3 linked regions of the Drosophila melanogaster genome follow. The protein of the gene in region 2 purifies or fractionates together with the protein of the main gene of each other region. This does not show direct contact. Each region holds a gene or a part of one and is shown on either strand. Other genes may lie near its edges.

What was found. Proteins that work in one complex are often made in the same cells at the same time.
Region 1: the proteins of Pglym78 (region 2) and betaNACtes1 purify together in Drosophila melanogaster (affinity purification with mass spectrometry, with the first as the bait; one large-scale study listed by BioGRID). This does not show direct contact.
Region 3: the proteins of Pglym78 (region 2) and CG31343 purify together in Drosophila melanogaster (affinity purification with mass spectrometry, with the first as the bait; one large-scale study listed by BioGRID). This does not show direct contact.

The regions. Positions count from the first base shown.
Region 1 is NC_004354.4:14,170,964-14,174,234, forward strand, and holds betaNACtes1 (Nascent-associated complex beta-subunit-like, testis 1), read right to left. Parts: upstream 1,662-3,271; 5' UTR 1,579-1,661; intron 1,525-1,578; 5' UTR 1,508-1,524; coding exon 722-1,507; 3' UTR 524-721; downstream 1-523. Other genes in the region: CG12480 (uncharacterized protein), read left to right, coding at 1-485.
Region 2 is NT_033777.3:29,146,687-29,150,427, reverse strand, and holds Pglym78 (phosphoglyceromutase 78), read right to left. Parts: upstream 2,181-3,741; 5' UTR 1,979-2,180; coding exon 1,876-1,978; intron 1,420-1,875; coding exon 922-1,419; intron 860-921; coding exon 693-859; 3' UTR 527-692; downstream 1-526. Other genes in the region: eIF2D (eukaryotic translation initiation factor 2D), read left to right, coding at 1-488; CG11882 (uncharacterized protein), read left to right, coding at 2,374-2,477, 2,548-3,235; CG14511 (uncharacterized protein), read left to right, coding at 3,627-3,741.
Region 3 is NT_033777.3:21,743,502-21,749,526, reverse strand, and holds CG31343 (uncharacterized protein), read right to left. Parts: upstream 4,262-6,025; 5' UTR 4,223-4,261; coding exon 3,672-4,222; intron 3,342-3,671; coding exon 3,186-3,341; intron 3,054-3,185; coding exon 2,340-3,053; intron 2,138-2,339; coding exon 910-2,137; intron 840-909; coding exon 603-839; 3' UTR 524-602; downstream 1-523. Other genes in the region: CG5849 (uncharacterized protein), read right to left, coding at 5,168-5,479, 5,540-6,025.

The sequences.
Region 1 (3,271 bases), on a different chromosome or scaffold from region 2:
ACAAGTACATTCAGGAGCAAGAGCAAGAGCAGGGAGCGGCTGTTCCCGGAGGAGATTCGAGCTCTTACCAGCCCGCTGAATACACTCCAGCTCAACTCAAAAAGTCGGTTGTAGCCTCAACCGCTGCCTCTGCTATTTCTGGGGCAGATTCCAGTTCCTATCAATCCGCCGTTTCCCAGACGAGCTACGTTAATAGCCAGGCCAAGACAATCGTGGCCGGATCGTCTAGCAGTTCCTACCAGAGCGCCCAACCCATCGCCGCCTATGTCCAGGGACAAACCCCAGTCGTCATTGGAGCGAACACGATCACACCTGCCCATCTGTACGAGGAACCCACATCGAATGGCATCGAGGAGTTCAATCCCGATACCCATGTGCCCGTGGCCATTGGTGCCGACACCATTACTCCTGCCCATTTGCAGGCCAGCTACTCCAAATCCGTCCAGGAGACCCAGTACGCGTCGAACGGCGGCTATATTTACTAAGACAAATAACTGAGAGCCACAGAGTCTAATATAATCTTAAATTTATAACTTTTTTTTATTTTGGAACTATAGATCATTAAAATTTCCATAAGTGTAGAGAAAACCAATGCTTTCAATAAACACCAAGAGATTAAAGTACAAATCTATAGAATATGGAACCTTTTTCTGTCTCAACTTTCTCAATTCATACGATTTATTTTTGAAATTGGTACAAATGTAGCAACAAATGAATATGCCTAATCTTCGTCCTCTGAGACCTGAACGCGATAAGTATTTGGATAGAGCTGCTCCGTCAAATAATAGTAATTGGAGTAGGAGGACAGGTAGATCGACTCCGTAGTGTCAACGTCCTCCTTGCCGTCGGAATCATCGCCGAAGCTTCCCAGCGAATCTTTGTCGCAGACTATGGTCCGATCCACATCAGACTCATCCGATGGCACCTTCTCATTATCCGGATCGCTGCCATCTTCAGAGGAGATCAAAATTGGTTTACCATTGCTAAGCTTCGGCTCCGAATCCCAGCCAGCCATGGCTGCGTCCTCTTTGTTTTTGGAGAGCATCATTTGGACCTTCTTGTTGCGAGGACGAACACGATTGCGCGGCTTCTTGGGCTTCTTGGCCACCTTAATGGACTCCTCTGATTCTGGCTTTTTGTCGGAAAAAGCTTCCGGCTTGGGTGGCTTAGGTGGCATGGGTGCCTTGGGCGCATTGGCTGCCTTGGCCACTTTCGATGGGCCAGCTGTTGACGACTTGCGCACGAAATCGCCACTAACCACGAAGAAAGAATTGCCAGCGGTGCTCTGAACCCTGGGCATGGTTAACACAACCTTACTGGAATTGGTGAACTCGATGGTCACCTCCTCGATTTCGTCGATATTCTTCAACGGCAACATGGCCAATGTGGCTTGCACGCGCTTCTCGGCCGCAGCCGAGGATGGGAATCTCTTATGCTTGCGGCGCATAGATCCTTTGCCGCCGATGCGCACCACCTCCTCCATTTTCTTCAGCTTCTTGAAATCCATTGTTTCGTTAGGAAAACCTATTAACTTGTATGGGTAAAGTGCGTGGAAAAGAATTCTCTTGAAATGCTCACCTTGAAAATGCTGTGCTTTACAAATTAATATATTAATTAATATAATATTAAGTAATATTCGCTTGGAGATGTGAATCAACTGAGGTCCTCACGCCAAATCAGAAATGTGACTTTTAGACTGCAAAGTCATCGTCTTTTTTTTTTGAGTTTTTGACACGTGCTAAAAGGGTTGCCAGAGCTTTGTCATGTCCTTGCAGATGGGAACTCTAGACTCGAATATATAAATATCTAGAGTAGATATTGTCGACATCGATTCTTAGGTGCAGATGACCGCACGTCGTGCCTCAAGTAATCAATTTTGCATTAAACATAAACATATAAATATTAACTTTTAACTATGCATGTTTTTTTATCATTTTTATGAAATATAGTTTTTATTGTGTATATTTTCTTTTTTCGGAAAATGTATGTTTTAAGTTAAAAAATTAATACTAACAATTCCAGATCGAAACTTTATTTTATTTATAAGTTGAAATATGAATGTACTTAATATATAAATATTAATTACTATTTTCCAACATTAATTACCTCTTGTTGAAAAGGATAACTGTTTGCAGTTCTCAGAATGGCCATGGTTAAGTTAAGTTATCACCAATGAACTCTGAAATTTCCATCACATTTTGCTTGGCATCGTCATGCTTGACATTTCCTGCCTTTTTTACACTTGAAGATAATTCATCAACGTGATCATAAATGAAATCGATATAAAAATGGATTTTAATTATTGACACAGGCGAATCACAGGCGAATCATATGTGAACGGGCTATAAATCGTCAATAGGTTACCCACCTTGCGAATATGATACATAGATAATCTTAAAAAATTACTCTTTATGTTTCTATGCTACAATGTTGCAAGAGAATCAATACGTTTGATGGATTTGAATATTAATTCAAAAATTGCAAAGGTCTTGCTAAAAATTTATTGAATTGTAAATTTCTGGCTGTGCTGCATTTCAAGTTCACGGACAGTGGAAAGACGCTCGAGATGTGGCAGCAAGTAAAAGTTGTTACTTATTATGTAAAGACCGCTGGGGAACTCGTAACTCTGGCGGCCGGCGTCTGTTCTCAAGGCCATCTTCTGTCGGTCTCCACTGATGGGTTTTGTGTGTTTATGGGTTTTTAGAAAGTGCGAGTGGGGCTCCGTTTTTCGAAACACGACGTTCTGTGGGGGCCATCAATCTGGGCGAGTGTCTCGAACGAGGCCAAATGGATCTCTTTTTGTGCGCCGGCCCATTTCTGCGGTTGAAACAAGAAAAATGGTTGCTCCGGTGTATAATGTGTTAAATTGAATGTTAATTAGTGGAACCCCCTTAGTTTTTTTCCCCCTTTTTTTTGGGCTTTGTGCGGCACAAACCCCCCCCCCCCCCCTCCCTCCCTCCATTCCCCTTGAGTCCGACGCTAATAAGCCAGATTGAAGAGACCACAAAAAGGTGTCCCAAAGTAGTTCACCCGCCGCAAACCCGTTGCGTGGATGGAAAAAAATATAATATCGTAAATGAGCCAAACCCGTTTGCATGTGCGATTTCGTTCGATTTTTATGTTGAATTTAATTTTAATGTGATTTTCCGTTTGGTAGTTTAGCCAGCCCCCTCCCTATATATGCTTTTTAACCTCCGCCCTGATTAGTGTTGCCATTTTAGCCATTTTATTGCCAAAACCATCTAACTAAGTAAGCTCTGCCAATGATCTA
Region 2 (3,741 bases):
TCAAGAAGATTGTGCGGGAGTACGTGAGCAAACATGGTCTCCTCCATCCGCTGACCAAGCTGGTGCGCCCCGACGACACTCTGATCGAGCTGTATGGTAACAGAGAGGTTTCGCTAAGCGAGATGTGCTCCCTCATCACCAGCAAGATGGAGCACTCCTACCAGATGTGCAGCGGCAAAGATACGAGCGGGAAGCCCCTCATCCAGATGTCCCTGGCCACGCGATCGGGCAACAAGAAGGTGACGCTGGTCAGCAACATCGAGGCGTACGGCATCATCCTGGCCGAGTTCATCAAGCTGTGCAAGCAGGGAGCCGCCGCCAGCACCAGTGTGGTGAAACTGCCGCACCAAAAGCACGAGCAGCTGCAAATCCAGGGCAACCAGGTGCGATTTGTGCACACGCTGCTCACGGAAACGTACAAGGTGCCGCCCAAGTGCATCCTGGGCCTGGAATTGGCCAAGGACGGCAAGAAGAATAAGAAGAAGTGAGCCGGACAATAAATGAAGCCTCCTCCGCCTGTCCTCTTGAGTGTAATAATAAATTATTTATTAACTGTAGTGGGGATGAACCAATTACTGCTACGCGAACAACAACAACGAATGGGATTGGCTACATCTTGAACAGAAGCGTAATCAGAATGCTCTGACTTGTGCCGTATTTGAGTGGATTCTCATGAGGTGTGGCCTGCGTGCTTACTTGGCCTTGCCCTGGGCGGCCACAGCCTCGATGGCCTTCTTCACGGTCTCCTCGTCGCCGAGGAACTGCATGGACACCACCGGCTTGAAGTTCTCGTCCAGCTCGTAGACGAACGGAATGCCCGTGGGCAGATTTAGGGCCATGATGGCGTCCTCAGAAAGGTCTGGATTGGACAAGGATATGGTAAAAAGATGATATGATATATGTTATGTCTCCCATGCTCACTGTCTAAATGCTTGACGATGCCACGGAGGCTGTTGCCGTGGGCAGCGATCAGGATGCGCTTGCCCTCCTTCATCTGGGGAATGATGACGTCGTTCCAGTAGGGCAGTGTGCGTTCGATGGTCAGCTTGAGGGACTCGAACTGGGGGAACTCCTCGGGCTTGGGACCCTCGGCGTAGCGGGGATCCTTGACGATGTTCTCGTAGTACGGATGGCCCGGCTCCATCGGTGGTGGCGGGGTGTCGAAGCTGCGACGCCAGATCTGCACCTGGGCCTCGCCGTACTTGGCGGCGGTCTCGGCCTTGTTCAGGCCAGTGAGTCCACCGTAGTGGCGCTCGTTCAGGCGCCAAGTCTTCTGGATGGGGATCTCCTTGTGGCCACTGGCCTTCAGGATGCTGGCCAGCGTCACCTGGGCGCGGGTCAGCACCGAGGTGTGGGCCACATCGAACTCCAGGCCGGCATCCTTGACGGCCTTGCCGGCGGCTAGGGCCTCCTCCTGACCTGTTTGGGCAAATGTTTAGCGAACATTAAGTATACGCCGTGTTGGGTAACGAACGTAAGCCAATTTAATCTAATTGAAAGGCATGCGTTTAATTTAATTTGATTACTAGGGTTAAAAAAAGGCGATAACCTATCAAATTATGCTCATAAGCATAATCTGAACTTTAGAAACATATGAGATGGCAAATTTTTGACTTTAAAGTGTAACAAACTAGAATTTTGATGCTTCTGAAAATTGCACTGGAAAGCTTTTGTTTGTAGAGACCTATTTTTATCACAGAAAAGTTTGAATGAGATAATGTTGCACTAGGTCAATGAAGATTAATTTGGGTAAATGAAAAGGAATACTATTGTGAAACTGATCAAAGCAAAGGATCATCGATTGGAAACTAGATGTACATCAGATTTTTAATCCCACATATGAGGTTTAAATTTCAAATTGATGTAATCACTCACCCTTTTCGCTGAGGTTGGCGTCGTACCAGCCGCAGAACTGATTCTTCTGGTTCCACTCGGACTCGCCGTGGCGCACCATCACGATCTTGTACTTGCCGCCCATTTTAGCTGCGTTGATCACTCTGCGGATAATTGTGTACTCGTTCTTAAGCTGCCGCCTTGCTGCGACTGCAATATGTGGGAATTCTGCTGAAGTTTGACCTACAAGGGAGCCGTCCAAGGTCGCAGCTGTCAGGCCGCGATATTGCCGTTCTGTTGGAAAAACGTAGTGCGCAGATGCGGTGCCTTCTCTGATTGGACTCCGGAGTATGGTCTTATTGGAATAGCGCGTCAAGCTACCTTCAAATGTCCAATTAGTTTGCGCTGTGCAACAGGTTGGCATCCCCCGCGCAGATGTTATCGCTCGCGTTTGTCATCACTATATTCGTGTTTTGGTTTTTAAATTTGGCTGTTTTTAAATTTTGCTCCCATAAATTCCAACTTTTTGTCACTTAAAGCATGTGCGAAAAGGTCACCGCGCGCTGCACTTGGCCCCAGCTGTCGGGCAACGGGCTGGACCAACTGGTGGCCACCCGCTTGTCCGACGAAGACGTCTTTGTGAAGTGAGACAAAGGATTCCACGCCCCGAAACTGGTTTTTATCAAGTAATTTTGAAACCTCCTTTGTCCGCAGGCCCGACTTGGACGACGTGATCGACGAGAATCGCGCCGTGCTGTTTTCCATGCAGTCGGCGGATCCGCCGCCGCCTTGTGAGCTGCGCTTCCAGATCCCGAACCGCTTCAAAATCGCCGCGCTCACCCTGATTTGCAGCGCTCCCAAGGTGGAGCTGTTCATTGGACCCTTGCAGGAGTACTGCGAGACCATCTACGGCACTTGCGTCGACGATGAGGACCCAGAGGTTGCGGTGCGACCCTATCGCTATGACATGGAAATCGACCGATCCGGGATAAATGACATAAACCTGAAGATGCTCACCTCGGCCAGCGAGATCTGCGTTTACGGAGCCCTGCTCCAGGTGGCGCCGAATCCCAACGGCATAACCACCCAGTTGCCCAGGCCAATGGATGCGCAGCGAATCCAAGAGCTGCTGCAAAGGGGTGGCACGAGTCCCTTGAAGAAGGAGGAGCAGGCCGAAAAGTTCGAGCAGTTCATGAGCCTGATGAAGGGCTATTCCCCGCAGGCGAAGGACCAAACCCAAGAGACTGCACCGCCTTCCACCGATGTTGCAATCCTCAAGGAGCACATCGACATGAGATTTGAGAAGCTGACGCTGTTAGTGTCTAAGAGACTGGACAACTTCGAGGCCCAGCAGACGGAAAAGTTAAACAAAATTATTGCCTTGCTGGAAAAGGAAAAATAAGTAATATACCATTAATTTGCTAATCTGTAATTTCTTTCTTAGCATTGTCATCATTGTATTTTGTAATTGTTGTAAAAGACTGTTGGTGCGAATATTTCGAATGTGATTAGGCAACATATTTAAGTTTGGTTTTGAATGTAATGTACATTAAATAAAATATTCTTCTCTTAAAATCATAAATTTTTTCTTTTTCGCTTGGAATATTTGAATTTCAACCACTTTCGATAGACCAACATCAGCTGTGCCCGAACCGAACTTTATCGATAACCACCTGTTGCATTTGTTTACGTTTTGTATGGCCGAAGAGAAAGTAAGTTGGCTTAAAAGCTCGTCATGGCCCAGATCGTAGGTTAAAGTTGGTGGGAATCGTCTACTTTCGTTGCGCGAGTTCATGAATTTATCCATCCGCGCTATTTCGGCCATCTGCGGCGTTTTCTTGGGCTGCTGCAGTGGCGTCGTCTTCTTGGAGCTCCTGGTTAAACTGGATCCCGGCGCTGGAAACCTTA
Region 3 (6,025 bases), 7.4 Mb from region 2:
GAAGTTCTCGTGTACTTATCATATGTGCTGATATGATAGCGAAATATACACGCCTGTTAACTATTATGGTATAATAGACTGTTCAAGTTCGCTCTTGAGATAAGAAAAGGCCCATTAATCCATACGGAATTACTAAGCAATATGTGCGATACTATGCAACAGCTAGACATCTTCTAATAAATGGTAAAACCATTGAAATTGATTAAGAAACTGAAAACCATAAAATGGCTTATTGTTCTTGAAAGTTGCCAATCACAATCTGATATGATCACGTGAACTTCATAAACCATTCAGGCCATTGTAAATATCCACTTGATAATCGAATTTCGTACTAAGCTCAACTATCAGTGCTTTATCGATGCCATTCCTAGAATCGCGATTAGATTGACCAATGCAAATGTGTGTCAACCAAGCTATAAACCGATCAGTTAAGTTTCCCAACCGCGGAACTTTGAACTTTTCTCACCAGGGGACTCCATTCAGCCCGAAAATTCCACAGTATAATCAGTTCTATTTTCGATCTATGATGAGCACACAATCTTTATTGTTGATTTACGTCACTTTACTGAATTTATGTTTAATACTTGACCACGTGAGTTATCTTAATATAGCCTGAATAGCAACAGAGCCATCGCACTGACCAGGATCGTGGTGATGGATGAGGTCAGAGAGGGACTGCCGTTCTCTTTTAAGGAATCCTCGATCCAGTTGAGCACTGGATCACGATTAACTTCCAACCAAGCGAAGTTGGATGTGATTCTGGAGTCAATGGTGGTGCTCAGATCATCATTGATATAACTCGGTCCATCAGCCTCCACAACATCCACCAAAGCGTTAAGCTGTCATATAATTAATAAATAGTAAATTAAAAGTCTGCTTTGAATTATAAATTAAAAAAAAAAAACGTACCCTCGTCTTTTGCTTCTCACTGACCACATAGGTGGCAATGCCACGCAGGGCAGCATCCAGGGGCTTTGCAGAGTCTGAAAGGTTGGCATATGCCTCCCAGTTGCTCTCCAGGAATTCCAAACTAGCGGTAAGACCGATTTCACTGCGGGAATAGGCCGAGTTTAGAAGGGAAGTGCGCTCCGAGTAGCTCAAGCTATTGTTGGTGTCCAGGGATAGTCTCAAGAAATCAAGCAGCTGGCTCGTACTTCCAGAGCAGCCCAACGAGGAGATGAACAGGCTGCGATCGGTGGAATCTGAGGAACTGAGCAAATCGGACTGCACTCTGCTATAGATTTCATTGGTAGTCGATCGGAGACCAGCACAGTAGGCTTGAGTCTTTAGAGTGGCCTCAATGGCTGTGCCATTGTATAGGTACTCGGATAATTTATTGGCCGACTGGTTATAGCAATCATCGGATCCCACCTGGCAGGCCAAGCTGACCAGCACGATGCGCAGATAGTTGTTCAGATAATGCTCGCCGGGAATCTCGTTTACACCGATTTTATCGAAGATGGGATCGATCAGGCGCTTCACGAAATCTTGGAAGTTGTAGTAAGAATCATCGCCACGCAAGTAACGATCGTAGACGGTCAGAATAGTGTTGGCAGTGGACCAAGGAGCATACTGCTGCTCATTAGTCAGGTAACCCAGCAGCTCCAGCAGGATGCTGTGGCTCAGGCGATCGGTGCTGACAAAGATGTACGTATCGTACAGCAGTTGTGCCCTGTTACGAGGATGGAACCTCCAGGGCTGAGACTTCAGAGCTGCCGTAATTAGACCATAGTTCTGCGTATCGTACAGGGTGCGGTAATAGCCGGAGTTCTGGATATTCACGATTATCCAGTCATCGCTGGAAGCCTCGACATCTGAGATCACGGTCTCCGTCACATTTAGCAAGTAATGTGTGGCGCTCGTGTCACGATAATCGTACTTGTTGGCAGTGGCAAAGTTAAGTGGCACATACCAAGTTGCGCTATTTGTATCAGTTTTGTTCGCCACATAACGCTTCTGGGTGATCGTTATAGTGCCGGCATTGTAATTACGGGTCACTGTGAGCAGGGGATAACCAGCCTGGTGGGACCAGCTACTGAAGATGTCGTCCACACTGGCGGGCAGCGTAAAGCCCAGCTCGTCGGCCGATTCCTGGAAGGACGCAAATAGATCCCATTCGTCGCAAGATGTATATTGGCTGAGCGAAACAAAATAATTCCAATGTGAGATTACTGTTCAAATTAAAATGAGGGCTCTTAAGCCCAGTATATACGAGTATATCATAAAGTTAGCTTTTTAAGTTCTTGAAATATTTTAGATCTTTTGATTAATCAAAATTCTATACTCTATACATTAGAAGTTCATATATTAGGTCATTTAAGTAATGGCTTGGTACTCACTTCTTGGTCAGGTATTTGTTCAATCCAGTGCGGAATACCTTGTCCGTCCAAGCGTTCTTGAACATGTACAGAACACTGGCGGGCTTGGCGTACGAGAAGGTGTTATACCTGTTGGAGATCTCCGATGGTGTCTGAACGTAGTGCGTCATGGGAACGGCCGAGGCCAGGGCGTCGTTAAGCAGAGCGCTGTTGTAGTCGTTCACGTGGAAGATCTGATAGGTGTCCCACAGTGGGAAAGCAATGTCGTTCGATTCGTACGAGAAGAGAGTAGCAAAGCCCTCCTTGAGCCACAGATAGGTCCACCATTTGATAGATACCAAATCGCCGAACCACATGTGCGCGTACTCGTGTCCAATAATATTGGCAATGTTCGTCTTCAGGTTGATCGTGGAGTTCTGCTTGTTCCACCACATGTACTGCTCACGATAGGTGGCCAGACCCCAGTTCTCCATGGCACCGGCAGAGAAGTCCGGTATTCCAGCTTGATCTAGCTTGGGCAGGGCGAAGGGAACCCCAAAGTAGCTAGCCAGACTGGACTCCACAAGCAATCCGGACCAAAGGGCCCATTCCTGCTGATCCTGCTTTCCCTTGCGCGAGAAAACCCGCTGGCGGATGCCATTCAGTTCTCCGGTGGTGGACTCAAAATCGGAGACGATGAAGGCCACCAGGTAGGTGGACATCTTTGGCGTCGTCTGGAAAGCAGTGACTCCCGAGCTGGAAGGCGAAACCGTCAGTATGTTAGCATTTCTTACATGAAAAGTATCGATTGCAATTGTATCTAGCATTGTCAACACTGCGAATGAGTAATGTTTCCTCTATGCTTGTATATATATTCGTAAATCATACCTGGTGGCAGCGGTGTTTACTGGCATATTGCTGATGGCAGTGTAGGAGGGATCATGGTGGATGGTAATCGTAAAGTTAGCTCTACGGGCAGGCTCATCGTAACAGGGAAACGCGTGACGGGCGTTTGTGCTCTCGAATTGCGTGGTGGCCAAGAAGCTGAAAGAAATTGTTATATACATTAACGACTCAGTTAAACCGATAATTAATCTTTATTTGGTAAGCGCGTATCATCGTACTAATAACAGATTATAAAGATAAGCCAAATTGTGTCTCTTGATAAGAAATGAAACTAGCCGCAAGTACTCAATCAGGTACAATTGTAATTAATAGCACGATAAGCTTTTGTACTTTTGCAATTTATTCCCTCATCCATTAGAAGGCTAACCTAAGTATAATTTTCTATAAAGGTAAAAGGGTAAAGGCTGTGCAAGCTCATAATAAAATAATGGTATTATTTTGTATAGTCTTCGTAAAATATCAACTTACTGCTGTTCGCCATCATCGTCCGTATAACTGGAGATATAGAAACCGCCCATATCAGATCGGTGGATGCCAGTGTAGTTGATGGTGATGGTCCAGTTGGTGTTGGCTCCAAATGCCTCACCAGCGGTGGTCTGCGTAAGGACGAGGAATTCGCGCTGCAACTCGGGGGTTACAGTGAGTGGAATTGCCGTGGGCGTGGCCACATCCCGGCTGATAATCGTCGCTTCAAAATTCGACGTCTGGCGATAGTGAAGCGTAATATTCGATGTCTCGTTCAAAACCCGGATATCGATATTGACGGTGCCATTGAATTCGGTATCGCCATTATGGACATTGGTCCAGAGTTCCACGTTGTAGGACTCCGGTTCCGTTGTATTTGGCAGTCGGTAATTGCCGGCACTATTATCATCCACGCGGGAGGTGGCAAAGAGGGCTGCTCCCTTGGTCTCCAGCTGTCCATCGTCCAGGGATAAGGGAAGGATCAGGCGCGCCTGTAGGCTGCACACTGCCAGGAGCAGGATCAGCGAAAACGAGTTAAGCAGCCACCGTGCCATGTTGGCTGCTCGGTAAAAGACACTTTGTTATTGAGCGGCCGCCGCTTGAACACGGCATTTTTATGGACTTGGCCATATCTAATCCTCAACATCGATCGCCATAAAGATTGTTGCGCAATTCTCGATAAAACGTGGCAAAGCCACGGTTATTGGCCCAGAGTGCACTGGGACAAGTCAAATGTGAAGTATGATTGGGCTGTAAAACAATTAGTCTACGAGAGTTTTGAAGATGGTACTCTATAGTGTAAAAAATCCCCTCGGTAACATTTTAATTATTCAGTAGCGTAACGCTTATCAAAATAAAGCAGGATAACATTACTTTTTTGTTAATCAAATTCCTATTATTAGTTTCATCATTAGGAGCAGTAAATTTTTGAATTATGGCTTCGTCTGGGACGACTAAGTATTTGAAAGTACGAAAAAATGCAAGTTGTTATAGTGCTATAATCAAAACAGTCATAAATACTCGTGAAAAACGCTAATAAGTATCAATTAATTTTACGAGGTGCTACATTTTAAATATATCAAATTTGTATGCTTTAATATTCAGTAATCATTGTACAAAAACTAACAAACTTAAGTAATGGCTTTGTTCAGTTTTGTATATTTTTATACGACTTATTGAATGTCCAAAATTGTTATAAATTTTTCAAATTGCTTTTTAATGGCCAGAAATACCCAGAAATAATTACTAGTCTTTGCGTAAAAAAGTTATAGTCATTTGATCGGGTTTTTATTATCGATGACTTTTGTGTTTTATACTTGCTTATCAATTCCCCACGGAGGCGTTTCAGACAAATCGATAACGTCTGTAGTTAATTTAGAATGTGTTGAAAAGCTCTTGGCTGTTGAATGAATTGACTCGATTGTTTTGTTTTGAAAAAAATTAATTTATTCGTAATTAAGCCTGTACTTATGTGATACCTAGTTAGACCAAATGTCTGGTCACCTATACATATCTACTATTCGTAACGCACTGCGCAACACCCTAGTCGCCTCCTTTAGGACTCCTTGAGGACGACTTGACCCATTGGCCGCGCTGAGGGAGGCGGACAAAAGGGCATCACTTCTGCTGGTCGCCTGAGGAAGCTCATTGAGCAGCCATTTGTGGATCTGCTGCTCGAACTTGTCCTGGAAATTTTCGGTGATTTTCATCTTTTTGCCCACCAGCGGAGAATCGACCTCGATCAGCGTTTGGTTCGTATTAAGACCCTCCTGCATCATGTGGTTCGCAATTGTCTGGCGTAGCCTCTCAAACTGAAAAGAGATATGTGTGAACAAAACGAGTAGGATATGAAATAGATATAAACTCATTACATGTGATCTCTGATGTCTGGGCACAAATCCAGCGAGCTGTTTAAAGTGCTCTAAAAAGTTTGGTGCTCGACAGAGCACCTTGTAGTTGCGCTCGATATACTGCCAGATGACCGGACGAGAGGCCAGATTCGACTTGTATATGTAGAGGAGATACATCAAATCTTCGAATTCGGAAAGGACCATATGGGTGGAGTTTTCACCCATCAGACCTTCCAGATAGTATAACAGATGCCGATGACTCTGCGTGCACCGGAGGGCATATATAATGTCATCATAGTATACCGAAGCTCGATCTATTTCCTGCATCATATCAATTATCCTTTGGAAGTCCTGATCGCTTAGATACCGAACTCCCATGCATAACACGGAATCGATTATGGCATGGTAGTCTGATCCATCTTTAAAATAAATTTTATCGATTATATGCTCCTTAGCCAGGCGACGTGTGTATTCCAGGCACTCGGGAAGATCCGCAGAGCAGGCGAT